Drosophila melanogaster: one gene and its partners. The protein of the gene in region 1 interacts with the protein of each later gene in a biochemical or structural test. Each region holds a gene or a part of one and is shown in the gene's direction. Other genes may lie near its edges.

Region 1 (3,757 bases):
TGTCCATAAAACACTTTTCCAGAACGAAATTAGTGAACCGGGGTTAGAGTTTTCTTAAAAGTTTGCATCTCTATATTCCAAAGCGTTTGAAACTAACAAACACAAACTGTAATTTACAAAGTTAAGTTAAGAAATTCGACAGGGACAGATGATCAACCGAAGTTGGACGCTTACTGTGTTCCTCCATATAATTTTACCTCACCATTACTTAATTTAAGAATGTCTTCATTTTTGAAAATAATTGTGTCCAAGGGTAAACCAAAGTTCTTAAGCATTGTTTTCCCTGACAATTAAAATTGAACAAAAGAAAAATGATAAAGGAAATTAAAGTTGAAATTTTTAAAGTAAAGATATATTTGAATTTATTTATGAGTCTTAATAAGTTCTTTCTGTGCTCTCTAAGTCCATTCACGTTGGACCCACTTCTTCTTTAATAGATAATACAAATGAATTATATCAAAATCACTGGTTCCTGCGCAACTTATTGCGCCAACAACGGCAACGACTGACGTCTGGACTGCGGCAGCGCCGACCAAACACAAGTTTTGCAGTCTGACGGCTGTTAAACAAAATCCCAAAACTCCATACACAAACTAAACTAAACTATATACTAAAACTAGACATCAACTGAGTTGGGCATTTTAAACAATGTGCTAGCTTTGCAGTCGCTCTTTGCGGTGCTACACTTGTACCCGCTCCGTCATGCGAGTTAAACTGAAATGTATTCTAAGAATGAAATAAATTGTTAATAAGGAAAAGGTCATGTTATAAAATAAACCTACATTAATTAAAAAAATTAAACCTACACTTATACCTAAAACCATGGTATTTCATTAATTCATAAAATAAATAGCTGTCATAGACATATTTTTCACGATTTCTGTAAACTTATATACTTGGCGTACGTAGCATTTACTTCGGATATCACCTTAAGAGTAACAAATATATTTAAGTACATTCGGATTTTTTAATGTAAAAATATAAAGTTTTTGACATCTGATAGTATTTTGTTTAAAAAGAATGTTCGATCATCAATCATCCTCCGTTGCAACACTGCTGAATTTTCTGTAGTGGGCAAACTACATTTAGTTAGCTGTACATTTGTATATGCTTCTGAGTAGTGAGCTGTTAAGAAATTTTATTATAATATAATAAAAAAGCAATTAAAGGATTTGTTTTCTCTTAATTAAACATTTAATTTCTGCTTTCGTGTTAATATGTATATTCTACATTGGTTTGTAGTCACGTCTTAATGGTGGGAACAGTACTTTTAGTTCCGTTTACGCTGAATTTACATCTGTTAGGTCACACAGCAGAAGATGGCACATGCCTGCTTTCTTGTTTTATTTTAATGGGCAATAATAGCTTAAATTAGGAATATAACACTAAGTCAAAAGGTTTTTATTTCTGCGCTCCCATTGAAAAATGTCCAAAAATATATTTAACCCAACATCAGGTTAATATGTGATGATCAATTTCCTCCTTTAATACCAATTTTTAAATAAAAAAATGTCTTACGCAATGACTGATCATTTTTAAATTATTATATTATTTAATATTAATTGTGGAAATTGTGGCTGCCAAAAGACTGATGTACCTTTTGGGATCCGATTATAATTGGATCGGATAAACATTGACCAGTGTCGTTATCTTAACATATTATTAATGTTTTACGCCGTCGATTTTGATAAATCATATTTACGCATTTGTCTAAAGAGTAAAAAAAAGTTGAGTTTATATATTCATATCTTAAGTTATAGACTTTTGGTTAAATTCATAATAAAGTAAATAAAGATTTTGCACTTATTGCTGTTCACTTAAATAAGATAAAGTGGGACATATTCAGTTGTAAAAGTGTTATTACAATCCACGCATACATACATTGCGAATTTTGCAGATACGGTGTATTTTGTATCATAACATCTTTAGTAGTATTTCAAGTTTTCCAGAAGAAACGTTAGTCATGGAGGAATTTAATTCGAGCGGATCAGTAGTTAATGGTACAGGATCTACGGAAGTTCCTCAATCTAATGCTGAAGTTATAAGGGGACAAATATTTGAAGTTGGTCCTAGGTATATTAAACTCGCCTATATAGGTGAAGGAGCTTATGGCATGGTTGTGTAAGTACCTAATACCTATTTTTATTTTTGAAGCCGTTTTTAATCTACAGTGTTTGCACACCTCTTTCTTGTTGTTCCTTTGTCCATTATTCATAGTTTTTTTTTTATCTTGCGGTTCTCCTTCCGAAATGCAGTAATACTCAGAACCGTGTTCTCTTGATTTTATATCAAGTAATACATTTTGTTCAAGTCCTTTGCTGTAAGTTCGCATACATGGTATTGCTGAATCAATGTTATTTTTCGAAAATGCATTAAATTTATTCACATCAATCATACGCAGTACTAAGCTGTGAAACACTTAACAACGAAATAGTTTCTCAAATTTTTGATTTCTTTCTTTTTCTCTAAACGTGGCTTAGTTTTGCTTTTTCTTTGACAAAATCAATCTTTAAGGGTCGACACAACCGAGTTTGTTTTCATGCAAAAGCCTAAATTGGCCGATGGACTTTATAAATAAAGGAAAGTCAATAGCTTCTGAGTCATATTGCTTGCTTTTAAACGCTGCGCACAAAACTTTCGTTTACCGGTCGATCGGTTGTTCAACGCAATACAATTTCTCGCTAAACTTGGATTTGCTTGTTAAAGTACTCTTTTACTCGGTGCCTTTATACCTTTTTCTAATGCTTTTGGACATAATTAGGGATTATTCATTCATTCATTAAAAGTAAATTTGGAACCTACATTTTCAAAAATAAAAAATCAACACATTTTTTAAAAGTTGCAGTTGCAGTTTTGGGCGGAGAGTGGGCATGGCAACATTTCATTTTTCAGTATTTAAAAATAAAAAATATTTAGTTGAATTATTTTGTTATATTCTTATAAAATATTTAAAAAGCGGACATTTTGTTTTTTTTTTTAGTTTCTTTTAATTTTAAATTATAGTTTTATGTTTTTTGATTAGGTTGGAGTTTTGAGGTGGGTAGCAAATGGGGTTGATTGACTGAAGAGAGCATATTTTGGGGAGGGGTCAGTTCATGTAGTGGGCATTGGTAAGGTTGGTGTGTCCAAGCCTGAGCCTTTTTATTAGGATTTGTGTTTTCTTATTGTGTTATGTAGTGTTGTAGCTTGAAGGATGAGCTCATACCAGGGAAAATTGAGAAAAGTCGTCACAGTTGTAATTTGAGGAGTGTACAAGGGCGTATCTGTGGGCATCTTTAGCTGTTTTGTCGGCGTATTCGTTGGCGGATATGCCGATGTGAGTGGGCATCCATATAAGTTAAATAATTGGGAAGTGGTTGGTGAGAGGGTTTCTTATTGTGGATAGATATTATGAGATGTTGATTGGTATTGGTATTGGTGAGGAAATTTAGGGCGGACAGGAATTCGAAGCCCGGCGGCTAAATTTAATTTTGCTGGCGTTGCTTGTTACGCTATAGCTTATTATTTAATTGGATATCGAGCCATATGTGTGGCTGCATAGTTGCAAACCAATGTATGGCCGTTACGCATCTTGTTATTCTAGTGTCTTTGATATAACATTGGTTGCTGATTTTAGTGTTCTTCTGGACCTTAAACTAAAGTTTTTCAGATCATATTTCGACTATTGTCAATAAGGCAGGGGTGTGCTTGGTTTAATAAAAAGGAGGTCAAAGGAATTAAATGATCATTACAGCACCAAAACCTTATTCATTTCGCT
Region 2 (3,757 bases), on another chromosome or scaffold:
GCGATCACTTGGAAACGTCGTCATCGCCATCGCAGCTATCGACGGAAAAGATAGCACTTGAAAAAAATATCTCTATTATATTTCTTAATTAGAGTCACAATCTAAAAGTTCTTTAATGTTTCATATCACGAGGCTTACTCGCTAAACTATTTATAGCCATAAAAATACATGTTACTATTTATTACTTACCTAAATGCCCATTAATCTAGATTTTCTTTCAGTGCATACCCACGGAACTGAGCAGGGGCGTGCAGGGCGTGGGCGGGGTCGTCCGGCTGGTCGCCGTTTATGGGCATTTGACTTGAAATGTCAACGTAAACGTTGCTCGTTGCTCGGGGAGAAACTGGTTAGCCAACTGAGGCGACTGGAGACCCCAAAGCGGATGCAGTGCAACTGAGCGCATCTTCAGGCCCACCGACCGACCGACCAACCGACCGTCCAAGCAACCTGACGAGGAACCCCAGCCCCGCCCCCTTTCCAAAGAGATTTTCCGTCGCAGCCGAGCGGAAATGTTCCAACAATTTATAATTAAAGATTGCCAACTGGTTTCCATGAAGATCCAAGATTTATGGGATCGAAAACACCTATCAGCTAGCACCTCCAAACATTTTGTATTACAATAGAGCGCTTTTCCCAGGCGCGTGGCGCTTATTTCATTTTCGGCCAGGGGGTCGTATTCATAATTATTTCAAATGCTTGAGAGCATTATCGCACACTGATTAGAGTTCACGGAATTGTCTTATCTATGGTTTATGTGCAAAAAGCTCGCCAATAGTCACAATTGACAGCTAATGGGTATGGCATGCTCGATCATTTCAAGTTTCCAGTCACAATAGGTGTGTATGTTATCTAGTGAGAGAACGATCCCTTGGTATTTCGGCGCCCATGCTTCTGGTATCAGCATGAATCGTTTGTTTAAACTTTATCTTCTATTGATTAACAACTAAATCGAGCGCCCCACGCGAATTCGACGCCGCCCACAGACAGCGGTTGCCTATTGAGTTGTTTCGTAGTAAACTTTGGTGGGTTTTAAATTATTTAAATTATTACCTCTGCGAGCTGTTGCTTCTTTCGTTGCCAAGGAAGTGGATGGTGGATCTGTAAATGTTTACGCGCCTAATGATTTGTTTGTGGTCTTTGCACACACTCCTACTTCTCAGAGTATAATAACATAATCGAGATTATTATGGCAATTGTGGGGAATCTGGGAATTTTAAAAAATTACGAACATAAAATACGTATGTTAATTGAGATTATTGTGAAATTATTCCGGAATTGGAATTGGAATTTTGTGGCGCATGCAAGTCTCTCAAGCTCTGATATAAGATTGTTTATAAATATTGAAATATAATGAGCAGCTCAGGGGTGTCTTTCAATCGTTAAAACTTTAACTCATATAAGACTGGCGCATCAAAGCTTCACTGTACCTCAAAATATAGGTCCGATTTAAGATATAAATCTTGGACGCTAAAACGGATACGGATCAAAGCGCGACTTCCTTAAAAAATTATCTTATTTTCGTATTCTTCACCAGTTCTTTTTGAATTGTTTTTGCTGTATGTCGCTCTCTTTGCTTCTCTTTCTCTTTCGATTCTCTCTCCGCATGCGCCGACTTGTTCATGTTCGCCGCCTGTTCGAATCGAATCGGCAGTCAAAAAGAAACTGCCGTGCTGGGCGGACGTGTAGAAGAGTCGCTCCTGAAAGCAACTAGACATTCTGCTGTAAATGGCAAACTAATATGTTTTAAATTGATTAATTCACAATTAATAGAATTTAATTCGTGCGCGGCGTTGAGGAAATAAACGGTTCTTCTTAACTCGGTGTGTGTTTACATTGCCCGGTGTGTGTGTGCGCGAAACGGAAATAAAAAATAAACAAGAGCGACAGCAACAACGCCAACAACAACAGCAACATCAGCGAGAGCAAAGCAACGCAACAAGAAGTGCAAGCAAAAGTGAAAAGGAAGACGAAAGAGGAAATGCCAAAGTACAACAACAAATACACGAACAAAACGCCAGAGTGCAAGTGCATCGCGTGAGTGTCTTACAGTGTGCGTGTGCGTTTGTGTGCCCGCGTCTGCCTGTGTGTGCGTGCTGCTGAGGCGGCGGCGGAAGTAAAAACGCTTGACTTCGCCTTCTTCTTATTCATTTGCTCCGCTTTACGGCTGGCATTTGTCGCAGAACGAAGCGAAAACAAAAACAAAAACAGAGAGCCTGGATTAGCCCCAAAAGCACACAACCACCGCCCACGCGGCGCCCCTCACCAAAAGGAAACAGCAACACAAACAACAATGGCAACTTGGCGCGACGCCCTCTTCGTCATCAGCAGATAACAACAAGAACAACATCGAATTAACAGAAACAAAACCAAAAACAAAAATAAAACAAGAAAGCGAAGCAAAAGCTAAAGCATTCTGGGATCTGGACATATCCGCTTCCGCGTTGCTTCTGTCGCTAAAAAGCTCAAGAATCGAATCCGAAGCCCAACGCAAACAGACAAATTCACTCACTCACCTTACAGTACGTAACCACAGTGCACAGTGGAGCAAACAGGTGAGAATTTTGATAATTTGTATACTTTTTGTTGTGAACTGTTAAATTAACCATTGTCAAAATAGTAGCAGAAAAGAGTGTCAAAAATAAAAACATTTTTTCTCAATATGTAAGCACAATGGTTTTTATATCTGGAGTTCTTTTATATTCGTAATCGTGCAAGAATCGGTGTTTACAGACATTACCCCTGTATCACTCCATTGCCGTCGTTGCTTTTTTTTACGAATTGGTTAAAACACCATCTTTTGGTACATGTATTTCCCATAACTACGTCACAATGGTCATGGAAACAGAAAAGTGTCTTGTCTGAGCAGCTGATAAATAATTGCTCCACCTTAATCTGGCTTTGGTTATCTGCTGCATATGACTTCCCCACTTCGCTCCACCCGACGTCTTACAATGTCTGAGTTTTGGTCTCTGGTTGAGGTCAACAATTTGTCGGATCTACACGTGTAAACAGATAACTTGGGCTATATTTGGTTCGCAGTACACTCATATGAGATGGATGAAGACTCGGCAACAACGGTTTATCTAAGGTTTAGTTGATTTATTTGCCTGTTCAGAGGATCTGATTGTGGCGTTTTCATTTGGGGCTTGTTTAAATAATAAGAGTTACAATTTTATGGGGATCTTGGGAGTGGTTTTATAGTTTAATTATTGTTTTGTTATCTGATTGTTGCGCATAATTTGTTGTATGTTCTTCTTGTTTCCAAATATGATTAGATATTTCTTACAGTCTAGTTGGATTGTGATTAATTATTACCTGTGGTTGGTTGAGAACCATATGCAAATACTCATAGCTCAGTCTAGTAACAATATGATATGATAGTAATTTCTCTTCCCAAGCCCAGTGTCTTGACTCTCATTGTATGCACGGTACGCTTCACCGATTCCCTAGCATTCTACAATACGAACAAGATCGATTCACTTGGAAAATAGCCTCTTCTATTTTCACATTCCACTCCACATTACGGTACCTGGGTGCTTTTCGTAATGCCCGTTGCATCATATTGGCCAGGTCCGAGTTTTCCGCCACAAAAATGATGAAAACGGTAATTATCGGAGTGCATATCGGTGTGCTTTGCGCTATATGCTATATGCTATAGAACCGGGCTTTCGGAATCGTTCTTTCTGTTCGGTTCACGAGTCTCTTGTTGCATGCACTTTTCTATGGAAGTGAAGTGAAACAAAAGCGGAGCGTTGAG
Region 3 (3,757 bases), on another chromosome or scaffold:
CATTAAACTGGAAATGCTGCCTCTTCGTTGATGGAGCCAAAATTCGCTCCGAGAGTTTTCTGCTAATAAAAGTCCAAAGTTATGGCAATAATAGCAGCAGCAACAGAAGGTACAACAATTTGTTTTTTGCCGCTGTCGCGTGGGTGCAAACACATTTATATGTTTTCCCACGGTTAACACGACGTATGCGTAATTTATGTCGCTAGACGGCACCAGGTGCACGGATCACATAGCGCGGTTTTCATATTTCCAAAGTTCCGGCGCGAATTTGATGAATGTTTGCACTTTTTACGGCTCCTTCCATATGAGCGGTCTCATTTGAGGATAGTGCATTCATAAATTATCCACTCAAGAAAGTTGAGTTTAATGAGAAGTTTTTAAGCTCAAGCTCAAATGGAGCGGTACTTAAATTAAATGACTATTGTCACACTTAAAATTTGGCTTGCCAATCATTAGCTTTTATTTACTCTGGGGATTATTTTGAACAGCCTTCAACAATGTATTTTGGTTTATTAAATGTTTTAATAGTTGTGAAATTTTCTGGGATGCATATGCCTATGCATATTATGCATATTACGTATTCGTAAAAACTTTTGTTGATACACGTTTGTTTTTAAGTGTTACCTTACCTATTTAAGATTATATAAATCATCTACATTTACTTGGCTTTGATTTTAAAGTTTCCTAAATCTCGACGGAAGGAAAATCAAGACAGACGGAATATATATACCTTACAGTTTCGAAAACACTTTCTTCCACGCCTTTTATCAAATCAAGGACATCTCTCCAAATCTTAAGAACTAATCTCATATGTAACATTTAAACCAAACAGACCATCTTTAAGACCGACAGATGCCTTGATCTTTTTATAAATGCCACATTTCCTAGGAACTGTCCTATTCCATAAAATCGAAATATTAATAAAAAAGAAAGTAACATAAATTGTAAATAATACTATGCTAGTTTTTATTATAATCCAAACAACTGAACAACATTGGACTAAGTTACTACATGTAAATAATGCATTCAAAGAAGATTATCATAAACAACCTACACAGCCGAAGTTCCTGCACACAGTACTATATTATATAAGTAACTTAACTTAAACAATAAAACCTAAAAACAATAATAGCAATATTACACCCCTTTACTCTACAAGAAATGAATATAAATGTGGCAGATATTTTTCAGTGCTACCACAATTTCATAATTTTTAAGAACGTTGGGCATTGCCAGACTGAAGTGTAGAACTGTAGAGGTTCGTGTACTGACTAACTTAACGATAGATTGTACACAAGCCAGTTCATACAATCTTTGTATAAATTCGCAAACCATGCTAAAAGTAAATGTTAAGAAGCAATTACAATTTTTATTTATTTATATATCGCTCTATCACCGAAAAGTTACAACATTTGGTTGCACCCGCTCGCGGCGCCAGTGTAACCGTATCATTCGCCTTTGCCACGCAACTTGTAAGATTTTGCCCAATCCGGCCAACGGTCCCACTTTGGGGGTATTTTCTCAAATGGGGCAAATGGTCTCCAGCAGATTCTCACTTCATGCTCGGAATCGCACGGACGTGTCGCGGATGTCGGAAGGTGGAGCTCCTGTGAATTGCTCTTGTGCCCCGCGCACAAAACCCCAATAATAGCCAAATCGGGCAGCGCCTGCAGGCTTTTGTGTGAATAAAACGGTTTGTGGCGACATTTGTTCGATTTTTAGGTGTCGCAAATTAAATTCGTTTGCAAATACAAGGCACTTACGCACACAAACGCGAGCGCACGCACAAGTGTAGGTGTGAAAACAAGTGAAACAGAGAGCTGGGAAAACAAACTGGGCTGCATAGATACTGGCTAAATATTGGATTAAGCTCGTATAAAGATAATAATAACAACAACAATCAATCGAAAATGCGCGTGCGACAGAGAGGGTGCGAGTGTGAATGAGGAAAAGAGAGCGAGCGCAGCACGCACACAAACACTAACACGCTGACGTCGACGCGCTGTCTGTGCAGAGGAGCAGTGTTGCCAGCCCACAATACTGCTGCCCGAGAATCCCAATTAAATAATTAATAAGTTCGAATCAGAATTGGAGTATCTGAGGCAGGGCTTTTTGCTTTGCTTACTCCTTTTCCCCGATTCGGCTTATTGGCATTGGGCTCTGCTCTATGCTCTGAGTTGGCAACACTGGCCCCCAAATCGAGTGTGGGCAAGAGAGATAGAGAGACATAGAGAGCAATCGCGAGAGAGTCACATGCTAGGCGCTCATTTCAATTTTCCTCAATGAATGAACACTTTTCACGGTTTTCGGTTCGTCGGTTCGCGTTTTCCACAGTCGTGCGTTGTTTTGCTCGTGGAAAAGTTGTAAAGCCCAGCCAGCCATAATCCAACATTTTGTTTGCAGTGCATTTGCAGCGCGGGAGAGCGAGAACCAACGGCTTAGCGAGCAGTTAAATAATTTTTAAAGTGTTTGTGTTTTTAACGTGTAAAACCCGAAAAAGTCTATGCCTTTTGCATAACAAAAACAAGCCGAGCAAATAAAATAAAAGAGAAAAACAGCAATAAACACCCATACACGTAAACATATACGTACAGAGAGAAACGGACGCCTACGTCAATAAGCGAAAAACGGTAAGCGAAATTCTTTTACCCCATGTTGTATGTGCTTGCCAATTGGAAAATTTTGTATTTCCCTTCCCGCTTCCGTTCTCGCCATCTCACTTCCCCAGTCTCTCTCTCTCTCTCTCTTGTTCCCCCTCTTCCGGGCTTGCTCTTACACTTGCTTTTACGTTGTTGGCAAGCAGAGCTTCATTCATTTCCACAACTTGCACACATACACATACCAGCACACCCCCGCTCTCTGGGAATTAGAGAGTTGGCAAGAGAGCGGTGGGTCTCAGTGTGACCGTGTGTATTTGTTGTAGCTGGTCAGGCCACAAAATTTGTATTCAAGAAATTCTATTCATTTGTTAAATAAACCCTAAGCCTCAACATTTAAACATTTGCACATCATATTGTTCATAAAATACAAAAAAGTCGTAACAATAGCTCCTAGAATTAATATGTGCGTGTGTATGTATGCATTCTTTATCATTGATATGTTAAATGTGAAATGTTGAAATTCAAATTAAGCTCTGCCTTTTTGTAAACAAAAACAATGGGGTGAAAATCAGCTACTGAAATTAGCTAACCATTAAAGTTACTGGTTTTGGTGGATTTTATTAGGGAAATCATGATTAGTATATGAAAATTAGTGGACCACAAATGAGTTAATAAAATCATGGTGCACGGGAAACAATATTGCTGTATTAAGATGTTTTTTTTAAATTTTTTTATTGATAGAAAAACTGTCGTCAATCAAATCAATTTAATTTGAACACTGTACCAGCCTCTTTTGCTGTACATTGGTCCCACAGTTGCCAACTGAAGTTAACCGCCCCCACTCCCCTTCATCAAACACACACACAGACGCACTTGCACTCTGACTGGCTGGCCATCGATGTGTGTATGTAATTAGCAACAAAACTCTCGCTGGCAACTGCATCGCATGAGATTTGAGCGATGCGTTGCTTTTGTTATTGCTATTGTTGCGTCTGCCCGGACCAAATGCTCCCTCTCTTTCTCTAGTCGCTCTCTCCCACCCTCTCTACTGCCTAATTTACATTTGAATGTGCGTGAGCGCCCATTTGTTGATAATTATCAGCAAATTACTAGACGCACTTAGCAGCAGCAGCAGCAACAACAACAATGGGAGAAGT

Evidence for each region.
Region 2: of the proteins of rl (region 1) and aop, one has a biochemical effect on the other in vitro, tested with the Drosophila melanogaster proteins (one study listed by BioGRID).
Region 3: the proteins of rl (region 1) and cic form a complex in vitro, tested with the Drosophila melanogaster proteins (2 studies listed by BioGRID).

Annotation. Positions count from the first base shown.
Region 1 is NT_033778.4:1,070,319-1,074,075, forward strand, and holds the start of rl (rolled), read left to right. Parts: upstream 1-1,656; 5' UTR 1,657-1,727; exon of another isoform or gene 1,728-1,932; 5' UTR 1,933-1,963; coding exon 1,964-2,121; intron 2,122-3,757. UniProt on the Drosophila melanogaster protein: Serine/threonine kinase which acts as an essential component of the MAP kinase signal transduction pathway to regulate proliferation, differentiation and effect cell fate decisions in various tissues.
Region 2 is NT_033779.5:2,176,642-2,180,398, reverse strand, and holds the start of aop (anterior open), read left to right. Parts: upstream 1-1,644; 5' UTR 1,645-2,552; intron 2,553-3,757. UniProt on the Drosophila melanogaster protein: Ets-related protein that functions as a negative regulator of photoreceptor development acting antagonistically to pnt and the proneural signal mediated by RAS. It acts upstream of SINA to inhibit R7 development.
Region 3 is NT_033777.3:20,251,224-20,254,980, forward strand, and holds the start of cic (capicua), read left to right. Parts: upstream 1-1,546; 5' UTR 1,547-2,630; intron 2,631-3,757. UniProt on the Drosophila melanogaster protein: Transcriptional repressor required for the specification of numerous cell types during embryonic development. Required for terminal patterning of early embryos.